2 linked regions of the Drosophila melanogaster genome follow. The protein of the gene in region 1 interacts with the protein of each later gene in a biochemical or structural test. Each region holds a gene or a part of one and is shown on either strand. Other genes may lie near its edges.

The links. Proteins that work in one complex are often made in the same cells at the same time.
Region 2: of the proteins of BRWD3 (region 1) and cry, one has a biochemical effect on the other in vitro, tested with the Drosophila melanogaster proteins (one study listed by BioGRID).

Annotation. Positions count from the first base shown.
Region 1 is NT_033777.3:24,316,982-24,322,230, forward strand, and holds the start of BRWD3 (BRWD3), read left to right. Parts: upstream 1-2,018; 5' UTR 2,019-2,133; coding exon 2,134-2,176; exon of another isoform or gene 2,177-2,427; coding exon 2,428-2,486; exon of another isoform or gene 2,487-2,610; coding exon 2,611-2,640; exon of another isoform or gene 2,641-2,801; intron 2,802-3,035; coding exon 3,036-3,095; intron 3,096-3,686; coding exon 3,687-3,933; intron 3,934-3,994; coding exon 3,995-4,802; intron 4,803-4,881; coding exon 4,882-4,978; intron 4,979-5,042; coding exon 5,043-5,249. Other genes in the region: Nab2 (nuclear polyadenosine RNA-binding 2), read right to left, coding at 1-860, 915-1,140, 1,234-1,275.
Region 2 is NT_033777.3:19,210,212-19,216,167, reverse strand, and holds cry (cryptochrome), read right to left. Parts: upstream 4,015-5,956; 5' UTR 3,828-4,014; coding exon 3,686-3,827; intron 3,610-3,685; exon of another isoform or gene 3,441-3,609; intron 2,685-3,440; coding exon 2,341-2,684; intron 2,185-2,340; coding exon 1,265-2,184; intron 1,029-1,264; coding exon 806-1,028; 3' UTR 726-805; downstream 1-725. UniProt on the Drosophila melanogaster protein: Blue light-dependent regulator that is the input of the circadian feedback loop. Has no photolyase activity for cyclobutane pyrimidine dimers or 6-4 photoproducts.

The DNA of each region.
Region 1 (5,249 bases):
GGTATCGCGGCTGGAGCGTCGTTCTCGGGTGCGCTCTCTTTGACTGCGCTCTTTGGTGGCCTCGGGTTCGCTCCGTCGCCGATGGGTCGGCACATAGAGCTCCTTTTGGTTGCGCTGCGAACGATCTGCCGGCGTTTGGGCCTTTGAACCGAGACGGTCATGCACCGATCGCCTTTCAGACCGGTCTTCCTTGGCCTTGTCAGCCGAAGAATCTTTTTTGGGGCTCTTCTCCTCCGCCTCCTCCTGGCGGGAATCGATCTCCGGTTCAGCCTCTGGACGCTTTTCGGGTGTCTTCTCGCGTCTGTTAAAAATAATGGGGCTCTTAGCTTTTCGTGGTGGAGCCTCCAATTTCGGGGGATCCTCTTCTGGCTCCTGGTCTACAGACTCCTCCCTCGCGCTCAAGTTCAACAGATCCTCATCATATTCATCGCTTTCATCCCCGATCTCGCCAATCTGGCGTAAATGCTTCTTGGCTGCATGAATTTTCTTTTGGATTTCGGCCAGCTCAGCGAGGTCTTTTTGCCGGTTAACACCGATAGTAGTTGAGATGATCTCAGACACAGCGGGCACATCCAGCGCCCTATTGGCCGATGCATCCTCATCCTCGATGGACTTGCGATTTTTCTTTTTGTGCAGGATCTCGTCTTTGGCACTGAGATCAATGTCCATGGTTTTCTTTGCCTTCTCGAGAAGCTCTTCGGCAAAAACATCCGTGATGGAACTGACAATTGGCATGGCATCTGAGGAACTTGGCTGTGGTTCCGACAGCTCATCTCCGGACTTTCGGTGCGGTCGCTTATCCTTCTTGGATCCTTTTTTGTCCTTCTCCTGACCGCGAGACTTGCGCTTCTTGCTGGAAGCTGAAAAAATTGGAGTTAGTGGGTGCTTAAGTATGATGAGCATATCCATCATACCACTGGATGTGGGGAGTGTGACCTCTTGGAGCTTTTGCAGCACTTCGTGCAGCCAGGTGACAAAGAGGTCAGTTTGATCGCCTAGGAATAGATTCAGCTCGGCGTTCATCTGCTGTTTGGTGCGCTTGTTGGCCACCATGACCATGACGTAGTCCGGCAATTCATCGTCTATAAAACCGGCCGATCCTCCGGTTCCCAGCTCCAGCAGCTTTGCCTTTACGGCGCTCTATTAATGAAGTGCAAAAATATATATAGTATTGGAGTATCCAATCCGAGCGGTATCCATAACGAGTTCATTGATTTTTTTCCAATGACTTACGCGCATCTTCTGACCAATCTCGCTGCCCAGATTGCACTCCATGTTTGCTGGTTTATCTATCGCCTTTTTCGCTGTTTATTCGCCGCGAGCATTTATTATTTACGCTTACTTTGTGGCTACACTCCACTTTTTGTTACATTAGAAAATGGCAAAACCTCCCAAAAAAAAAAAATATCGCAGCTGCTCCGATATTCATAACTAGTGGTGTGCGTTTGACATTAAGGGTATTCACGTTTAATTCACACGTTTTATAATGTATATATCGATTTTCTATAAACATAGCTTTAAAATAATAAATAGTTACAGAAATTTCATTTGAAATTAAAATGGCAAATTAAAAACTTCTGAAATTTAAAAATGCTCCTGGCCATGGCCATGAACTGAAGTGCAACATAACTTCAAAATAATCAACACCAATGGGACAATTTAAAAATATAAAAAGATTTCACTTGTTATTCATTAAATCATAAGTCTAGTTATCAAGAATTTGTGTAGTAGCTATTAAATTACATTCGAAAATTAAAAGCGAATAATTGCAAACAGTTTATTTAATCACATAGCTAAATATAAATTTCATAATAAGCTTAAATTCCAAACCAATGGCTACGAATATGTTTGACTGAGAATTAAAATTCTCAATTTGAAGTAAATATCTTAGATTGTAGAATCCTGCGAAGCATTTCAGTGCATCATCTCAAATTCAAATACGAAAATTGGCTCCTTCGGCTAAGACTCGATACCCATCTTGTGAGCCCCGCCACCAACTATCGATACGCAAAGGCATTTCATTCGGTGGGAATGGCAATCGAGTGTCACACGGGAAGAAGAAGCTGCGAAAAGAATTTTAGAAGAAAGCAACTGCAATTTTGTCATAATCGGAGCTGCAATTCGCAATGAATAATGGAAACTAGACAACCCAGTTCCGGTGATGATCTAAAGCCAGGTGCGTACCGCCCGGTGGCGCAGCGAGTGCGTCCAACGGGGCTACCAAAGGCAGCCCCTTTGACTTTGTGAAATGTGTGTCTGTGTTTCGCTCGCCCTTCGAATCGAATGGCTGCGTTTTTTCGACTGCGTTTCGCCAAGCGAAATTCACGGGCCCCTTTGGCCAGATATATCTGGAATATTGACGACTCCCAGCGAGCGCATTTTCGACAACTTGTTGCACTAAAACCCGTGAAATCCTCTATCTTGCAGAGCTGTACTTCCTCATTTCCAAGTTCCTGGCCGCGGGACCGCTGGAGGAGACGGCGAAGGTGGGTTGAAAGCAGCGCTCGCGCGAGATCGCATTGGAATCGTATTTCGCGCTAAAAGAGCGGAATTTCGTTTTGTTTACAAACATTTACATTAATTCTGAAACTAAATTCTATCCAACTGTAGGTCTTGATCCGGGAACTCGAAGAGAAGAAGGTGAGTTTTGTTGGTGCTGCAGCTGTGTTTTTGGCACAGATATTTCGGACTCGAATTGAGAGGGGGGCCAAAAAAAAAATAGAAAACCGCGTTTGTTTATACGCTTTGTTTTGGTTTTGTTGTTGTTTCTGCTGCCGGCAGCGAACGACGAAAAACCCACTTGTACGTCCGCTTGTCTCAGAGTTGGGAATCAGACTGAATTGTGGATTTGCTGGGGCCACGTGAATATATAGTCCATTAAAAAAAGAAGAGAAAAACATGAAAAAAGAAATGGAATCATAGGGATGCCCCCGCGACGTCATCGTCGACGTCACGGAGTGCAAGTGATAAGAGTCATACATGCATGCATATATATTTACACCCGTCTATATATACGTACACCTTTCGATTCCCAGGTTTTGCCGCGTCGTCTCGATTGGCAGGGAAACGAGCATGAGCAGACCTTTGAGGAATTGGTGAGTGTTTTCATAATTAATCAATTAGCTTTTCAAAGTTATCGTTTAATGCCTTTTGATCGGCATTTAAGTCTTGCGTAAGTGTGCGTCTGCTGCGGCATTTTCCGTCTCAGTCGTTCGCTCGCCTTTGTGACGTCATCGTGTCAGGGAATAGAGAAAAAGTTGCACATCAAAATTCAAGTTGTTAATTTAAAAAACATTACAACTAAAGACATCAATCATTCTGACTGTTAAATTAACAAATAAGTAAGCAACTATTTAATTAAAAAGGCAGCAAAAAATTGCAAAAATTCGTAAAAGACTAAAGTGGAAAGCAAAAATTCTAAAACCCTCGTAAAAATTGTAAATTTTGAAAAATCTTAATTTTTTAAACAAATGCTTTGTAATTTAGTTTTAACAATTAGCTGCAACCAGCCGACATTTTGGTTTCTCACACATACACATGCCCATGCGCACAGACACATGCAAGCAACCACCACTTTGCCTTGACTTGTGCGCGAGGGAACGAGACAAGCATACGTTGTTGAAGCTATCGCACCGTTTATCGCCCAATCGATAGGAATACGTTAAATTTTGATTTTGAATTCGCAGGAACGAAAGTACAAGCACATTGGCGCCAATCACTTGCTTGAAATATGCAGTCGTCTGGGTCCACTGGTGGATCGCGAGCTTCCGCCCAGTGTTCCGGGCATCAACTCGCTGTTGGGTACTGGGCGCCAGAACCTCCTGCGCACCAAGGAAACCGTCTACTGCCATCGCTCCTTAAGGGACTACTGCACCCGCCTGAATGGAGTCTCGCTGCCGGATTCGGTCCTTACAAAGCCGACCCACAACTTAGGTTAGTTGCATGGTAGAGTTTTATTCGCATATTAGAGACTAACCCATTTATATTTCCAAAGATCGCGTTCTAACTGGACGGGAACACGGCGGGGAAGTCCGTCGCAAGCTCCTCGTGCCCACGGACCTCTACCGCCGAACAAAATTGCTCCGTCGCACTGTGGGCCACCTGTCCTCAGTGTACTGTGTTCTGTTTGATCGCACAGGAAGATACATCATCACCGGAGCCGATGATCTACTTATTAAGATATGGTCAGCGGCAGATGGCCGCCTGCTGGCCACTCTGCGAGGCGCCTCATCCGAGATTACAGACATAGCCATTAACTTGGACAATACGATGCTGGCTGCCGGGTCATTGGATCACATACTAAGAGTGTGGGACATGCAAACCACATCACCCATCGCCGTACTGTCTGCTCACACGGGCATGATAACTTCGGTTAACTTTTGTCCGTCGCCACGTAGCGATCTGAAATATCTGGTGACTACCAGCACAGATGGATCGATCGCCTTCTGGCAATACTCAACGCCGCGCGGGCAAAAGATCACGTTTGCCCCGAAGCCAACGCAGTATCATGAGAAACTGCGGCCCGGACAAGCTCAGATGATGTGTACCACCTTTTCGCCAGGAGGCATTTTTCTGGCCGCTGGGTCTGCCGATCACCATGTGCGCGTCTATATGATGGGCGAGGACGGTCCGAAGCGAATATTGGAGACGGAAGCTTACACAGATGCCGTGGACTCGGTGCAGTGGTCGCATCGTGGACTGAGATTTATATCGGGGAGCAAGGACGGCACAGCACACATCTGGACGTTTGAGTCGCAGCAGTGGAAAAGTTCCAAACTATGCATGACGGAGCGTCTGGCCAGGTGAGTGCGATTTTCTTTAAAATGTTTCTAGCTAGTAAGGAATTCTCTGAAAACTAATAGCTTTGTAATTAAATTGCAGCTGCCCGGAACCAGAGGAGGGAAAGAGGCTTAAGGTAACCATGGTGGCTTGGGATGCCTCGGACCGTTATGTCATCACCGCCGTAAACGATTTTACTGTAAGCATCCGTCTTAAAACGTGCTAAACATTTACTTATAATTAATAATCCCATTTAAAAACAGATAAAAATCTGGGACTCGAAGTCAGCCAAGCTGCATCGTGTTCTGCGTGGGCACAAGGATGAGCTTTATGTGCTTGAGTCGAACCCAAGAGATGAGCATGTCCTGCTTTCCGCCGGGCACGATGGCCAGGTATTTCTGTGGGACATCGAGCAGGGCGTTTGTGTGGCCAACTTCCTTAACGACATCGATGGCCAAGGCCATGGCAGT
Region 2 (5,956 bases), 5.1 Mb from region 1:
GTGTGTGTGTGAAATTTACATTTACCAGAAAAATAACTTTTTGCCAAGCAACGCTCTAAATGTTTACTCGAATTTACTTCAACTAATTCGCAGGATGTCGAATGTCTAAAACGAATGCTTACTTCCTACAAAGGACTATTGCGATTAAGTCGCTGGTAGGGGAATGAGCGAAAAGCTCGGCGTGGTCGAGTTTAGATTTTCTCAAACTTTATTTGTAGCAAACTGTCGAGGGACTCAAACTTCAACAATAACTCCTTTTAGGTCCCATCAACCCCTACCAATATCTCATTCGAAAGGCACACATCTAGAAGGAACACCAAAATTTAGGCATTAAAATAAAATATACACAACAATTTAGACAAATTATAAAGATAGAATCTCTCATTAAACGAAAGGCAAACGAAGCCAGGATCAATAGATCGACATAAAATAAATTTCAATATTTGAAATACTTCGCGTTCAATTTTTCTCGTATGAAAGACCCAATTAAAAGCAAAAACTATTTAATTAATGCTGTTAATTAACGTATAATTTGACAACGTAATACAGATGATAATAATAATTATATATATATACACCATAAACGATTTTTAAAATAAGCTGAATAAAATTGATATATGAGTAACACGTTATAAGCTGTTAAAAGTAAAACGAAACCAAATAAAACGGATACAAATTGTATTGTAGTACTTATTTTAATTGAAGAAAATAAAGCATTATTAATTATATATAATATTTCACTGGTAATAGTTTCTTTATTGTGAAATCGAATTAAAATTGGATTGGTCATCCCACTTGTACTCCTTCAAACCACCACGTCGGCCAGCCAGAAGAACTGACGCACTTCCTCCTCGTTGGATGGTCGGCAATGCGGCGGCGGGGTGATCAGCGAATTTCGGAGAGACTTCATGGCCAGCATGTTTCGCTTTACGGCCATGGACAAATCAATGATCCGCTCCGGATAATGGACTCCGATCAGGCACTCGTACTGCTCCTGCTGCTCGGCAGACATTCGCCAGGGCTCGTGACTGAAAATATAAAATGGGATTTATAATTTAAAAAATATAACAAAAGCACGAATAAACGAATTAAAAATATATATAGTTCAAATGGTTGCTTGAGATTGTTGAACACTTTAACGAATCATAAGTAAAGACGACAAAGGAGTCATCATATATTGCGTATACGACAAGTATACCATCAGTATTTTTATTATATCTAAGTACTTAAATTGTTATATGGAATTTTCATTATATAAACTTACACAAATTCCTTGGGCACATTCATCAACTCCGGGACGTACTGCTTGATGTAGGTGCCATCCGGATCAAGTCGCTTGGCCAATGCCACCGGGCAGGTGACCAGGGAGGAGTCCAGCAGCCTTTCAAACGCCGAGCTGGATACCCACATCCAGTTGCCAGCGCAGACCGACCAATCCGCATCCAGCAGATACTTCAGAAAGTGCTGCAGTCCATGCTCCCAGCTCTGCCACAAACCGCCGCGCGTGAGAAAGGTGGCCACGGTGTTGCGCAGCGTATGGTGGAGCCATCCCTCGGCCAGGAGTTGTCGCATGGCGCCGTCGATGAGCGGGAATCCCGTTTGGCCTAAACGCCAGCTCTGCAGGAGATTTTCGTTCGGCTTAGCCCACGGGATGCTCAGGCAGATGTCATTGCCCTCCATGCGATCGTAGTTTGGATTGTTCACCGACATGGTGTAGAAGTACTCTCGCCAGATCAACTGTCCCGTGATGTGCGCGCCGCCAGTCATCTGAACGCCCCGCACACAGGCGCGCAACTGGACATTCTTGAAGAGATCGTGGACGCTCCAGTAGAAGCGACGTACCGAAAGGCAACCAAAGCGCAGATGGGCGCTCATCGATTTTGGCGAGTCGTGGATATTGGGCAGTGCCTGGTTGGGCAGATAAAATCCACGCTCAAACGCATGCTGCTCCACTTTAAGACGCTCATCCAACAGAAGTAAGGCCTGTGTTTCTCCGCCGCGCCAGTTAATCTTGGCCAGGAAGCCCATGTTGTCTCCATACACATTGAAGTGCTCCGGCGTGGGCAGCTGCTCGAACAACTTAAGACTTCGGCAGAACTCGGGGTCCAGCTCGACAAAGGTGGCGTCTTCTAGTCGAGCATCGGCGGTGGGACGCGGTGGAAGCCCAATAATTTGCACCGTGTGCTAAAACATAATAAAATAAACGAAAATATAATTTGATGTAAATAATTAGTATCTTTCAGTGACTATATAATTTTCAGATAGTTATATTTTTACATTTATTTTAAAGATATATTCTCAAAAGAATATTATAACTAGAGAACTGAGCTTTAAACTCACCAGGAACATTTGGTAGGTCAGCGGTGGAATGCCACCATTGGTCTCAATCACCAATTGCGGATCCCAAAGCGTGTGTGATACCTTCTCGACAAAGTCGATATTCAGCTCCCGACATAGAGAACGGATGCTTTCATCGCGCTCATTCCAAATTGGCTCGCAGTCCTGCTCTATGCAAATCCTGTGCAGACGCACTTGCTCATGTAGCCGGCGGAAGATATAAGCCGGTTCGCCCTCGAAGACCAGGAGGCGTCCACGTCCATCAGTTGCCGCCTGTAGCTGATCATCGATGTCCTGCAACGAGTCCAGGAGGAAACGCATCCGATTGTAACCCACATTCTTGGTACCTGTTAAGGAAGAGCATTTAACGGTTTTATAAGATTTATAAATTTAAAAAAAATTATGCATTTTCAAAGTTTTTTCGTGCACAATTTTCGCAAAACTAGGAATTCAAAACAAGTTTGTGTGTTTAAGTGCCACCTTTTAGATAAATTTTCAGCTTTTGTGCAAACAAATGGTTCAGTTTAGCCCATTTTCCATTGTAATATTTGTTTTCACGCTTTTACCCACAAAACGACGCTTATCGGTCAAGTGATGGGTTCTATAGGTATCCCCGTTTCTCGCCGACTTTTTCCGTGAGCGAGCTGTTTAAACACAAGCATTATACTGCTATTCTGGTTTGCACTCAATGTCTCTACCCATTTTGCATTGTCTTTCTATATCTCTCTCCCAGCGATTCGACGGAAAATTCTCAAAACCGCCAGCCACAAATGGCATTAGGGCGCATCGTTTGTTTTGCTCTACCATGCAAAAGTGCATTAGGTTTTCCCTCCATTTTCCGCCCCTGCAGCTCTCGCCCTCTTTCCATTTTCACAAGCAGCGAAAACGCTGAATTCGCAGCGGTCGCGGAAAGAGGTGGTATGTGATAACCGATGCAAGTCGCAAAAAATGATATTAGCTCATACGGAGAATGAGCGTGTAATAGCAATCAAACTAAAAGTATTTATTTTAACCCTCTGTTGCCAACGGTTTTTTATTTTAATTTTGTTGAATTTTCAAACTCTTTCCAAAAATCTATTTTTACACAAACTTCTGATGATTTTGTATGAGCAAATATATATAGATATAATATTTTATCTTTGATGTTTTGCTATCTATTAATTATTTTAAGATTATCTTAATATTTTAAATATATCTCCATGAGATATCCATATCTCATATAAAAGTTTTGAAGTAATAACTTAGGAAAGTGCAAGGTAAGTTCAAGGTTACCTGTAATCAATTTAATTTGGATACCTACATGTATGTGTGCGCAACGAAATAAAATTTTCGAAAACTCAGTTCTTACCTGCACTCTCTCCATCGAATATGAAAACGGGAATTAGGGCTATACCCTGATCCTTATCGGCGAGGGCGGCCAATAGAGCGGGATTATCATGGAGGCGCAATCCATGGCGAAACCAAATCACATTCGCCCCTCGCGTGGCCATCAGTGAGGAGTTCCCTGCTTTTGGGCTTCAAAAATCTCCCGAATCCCAGTTTTGATCGGGAAGAACAGTTTTCCAGCTGATGAAAAGATTTTCTTTTTTCCGCACTCACGATTCGCTCGCGCCGGCAACTAATTGACGAATGAGAATGTGAATGCGAAATTTGAGTGCTGAGAACGTTTCTACAACTGCAGCTCAACGTTCCCCGTGTTCGGCGTTATAAGCTAAAATGAATCGCATAAGTACGGTGAGTGCAACAGAGATGGCGAGAAAGAGACCTGTGGGAACCGCACACTGAAAAAAAGTACTTACTTCCATATATTATATATATTATAACCAAAGTTTAAGTTGGGCAAAACCAAACGCAGGCTAAAACTAAGAGTGTTCTATAACATCCAAATATCGTTTTTGTTTTTGTTATTGTTTATATTTTGAATTTCTATGCATATTTAGTATTAAAACTCGTTATAATGGCTGCGAGAAAAGATTCGAGAGTTGATAAGGATTTTGCGGACATGCATATTTTCTCCCAGTGTAGAAGCGTGTACTGTGAATCGGTAACTAGAAACAGCCCGTTCAAGTGCGTCAATACAAAGCTGTCGATCTGTATGTGTGTGTGTGTGTGTGTGCGAAGGGGCGACTGTGTGCTTGGGTGCTTGTGTGAGCATAAGTGTGGCACTCTGCCCACGGTTGCCTGCACTTCTAGCTCTGCGCCGAGAACGAGCCGAGCCCCCACCCCGAATCGACCCCCAGCTGACTGTCCCACCCCTTCTTCCCTTCGCTCTCACAGTGGGGCACTGCGTTCTGAGCACACAGAACCAGAAACTGAACCCAACTGTTGCCGCTTATGACGTGACGAGCTTTTGCAAGCACTCAACTCTGCAGTGGGATCGAGATGGGCTGTTTGCATGCTTATACTTATCACTTTGAAGTAATAATTACCTATTTGGGTATATTTACTTGGTTGTTTATTATGAGTAAATACATTTAAGTTTAAATAGTTATAAGATTTATTGATTATTTGATTTGTGCTGTGCAGACATTCATTTGTAAAGCAAGTAAGTATCGCCCTAACTACAAAAGTAGGTTAGCCCATTCCTGGTTAGTTCTTCTACAAATTATACTGGAAATAGCTATTTTGGTAAGAAAAAGATGAAGATGGAAGATGAGCAATTCTAGATACCAGTATTCTCCTATCAATATTTCGAAAAACCAAATACACTTGAACATATAATAGAGTAGCTAATATTCGGTAGTGACGCACTTTTTGGTTATGGTCCTGCATTGGCATAGTTAGTTAACCCGAGCATGGGCCACAGCTCCTTTGCCAACTTTGAGTGAGCTTTTCCCCCATAAAAAAAAATCCCCGCACGTCGAATACCCAACATCGCTGGACAGTCCCAACGAGCCTTATTGTGAGTAAACTACGCACTTGCATCACAAAAACTTTAGCATTGCACATTGCATGTTGCCTAGACAACGACAACGACACCGACAGCAGCAGCAGCAGCAGCAGCAGCAGTAAAAACAAGAACAAGGACCAAATGGAGGCAACGTGCGTAACGGAATGTCAACTGCAAAGCTCGCCGATGCACGTGTCCTGGCAACAACAACAACGACAGGCGCTGCTTGCAACAATCGGGCGAGGAATTCAAATGATGACGACGACGATGATGAGCCTTCTGTGGCTGGACTATGGCCAAAACCAGGATTATAAGGGGGCGGGGGAAAGGAACAGTGGCAGAGGCAGAGTGAAACAGGGTCAAATGAACAATGAAGTGAAGTCGAAAGGTTTTGGACAAAAGAATTTTTCTTGCCTTGTTAGCTTTTATGAAACTAATTTACGTTCCTCGGTTGGGATTGAAATTTCGGAAATTTAAAGATTGAGAATAGCAAATACAATTACTTATACTCAAAGAACTCATATTGCTCATACGCCAGGTGGGTTTCTATTCACAATTTTCACTTCATTGACATGGACATTTTCGTATAGTTGGCATTTAATTTACGTTCAGGTCGAACTTTTCCAATAGAACTTGTCCCTTGCAAAGGAATACCCACTTACCCATACGCCAGGTGGTACCAATTTTTACAAAGTTCTCACCATTTCCTCGAAATTGAATTTTTTATGA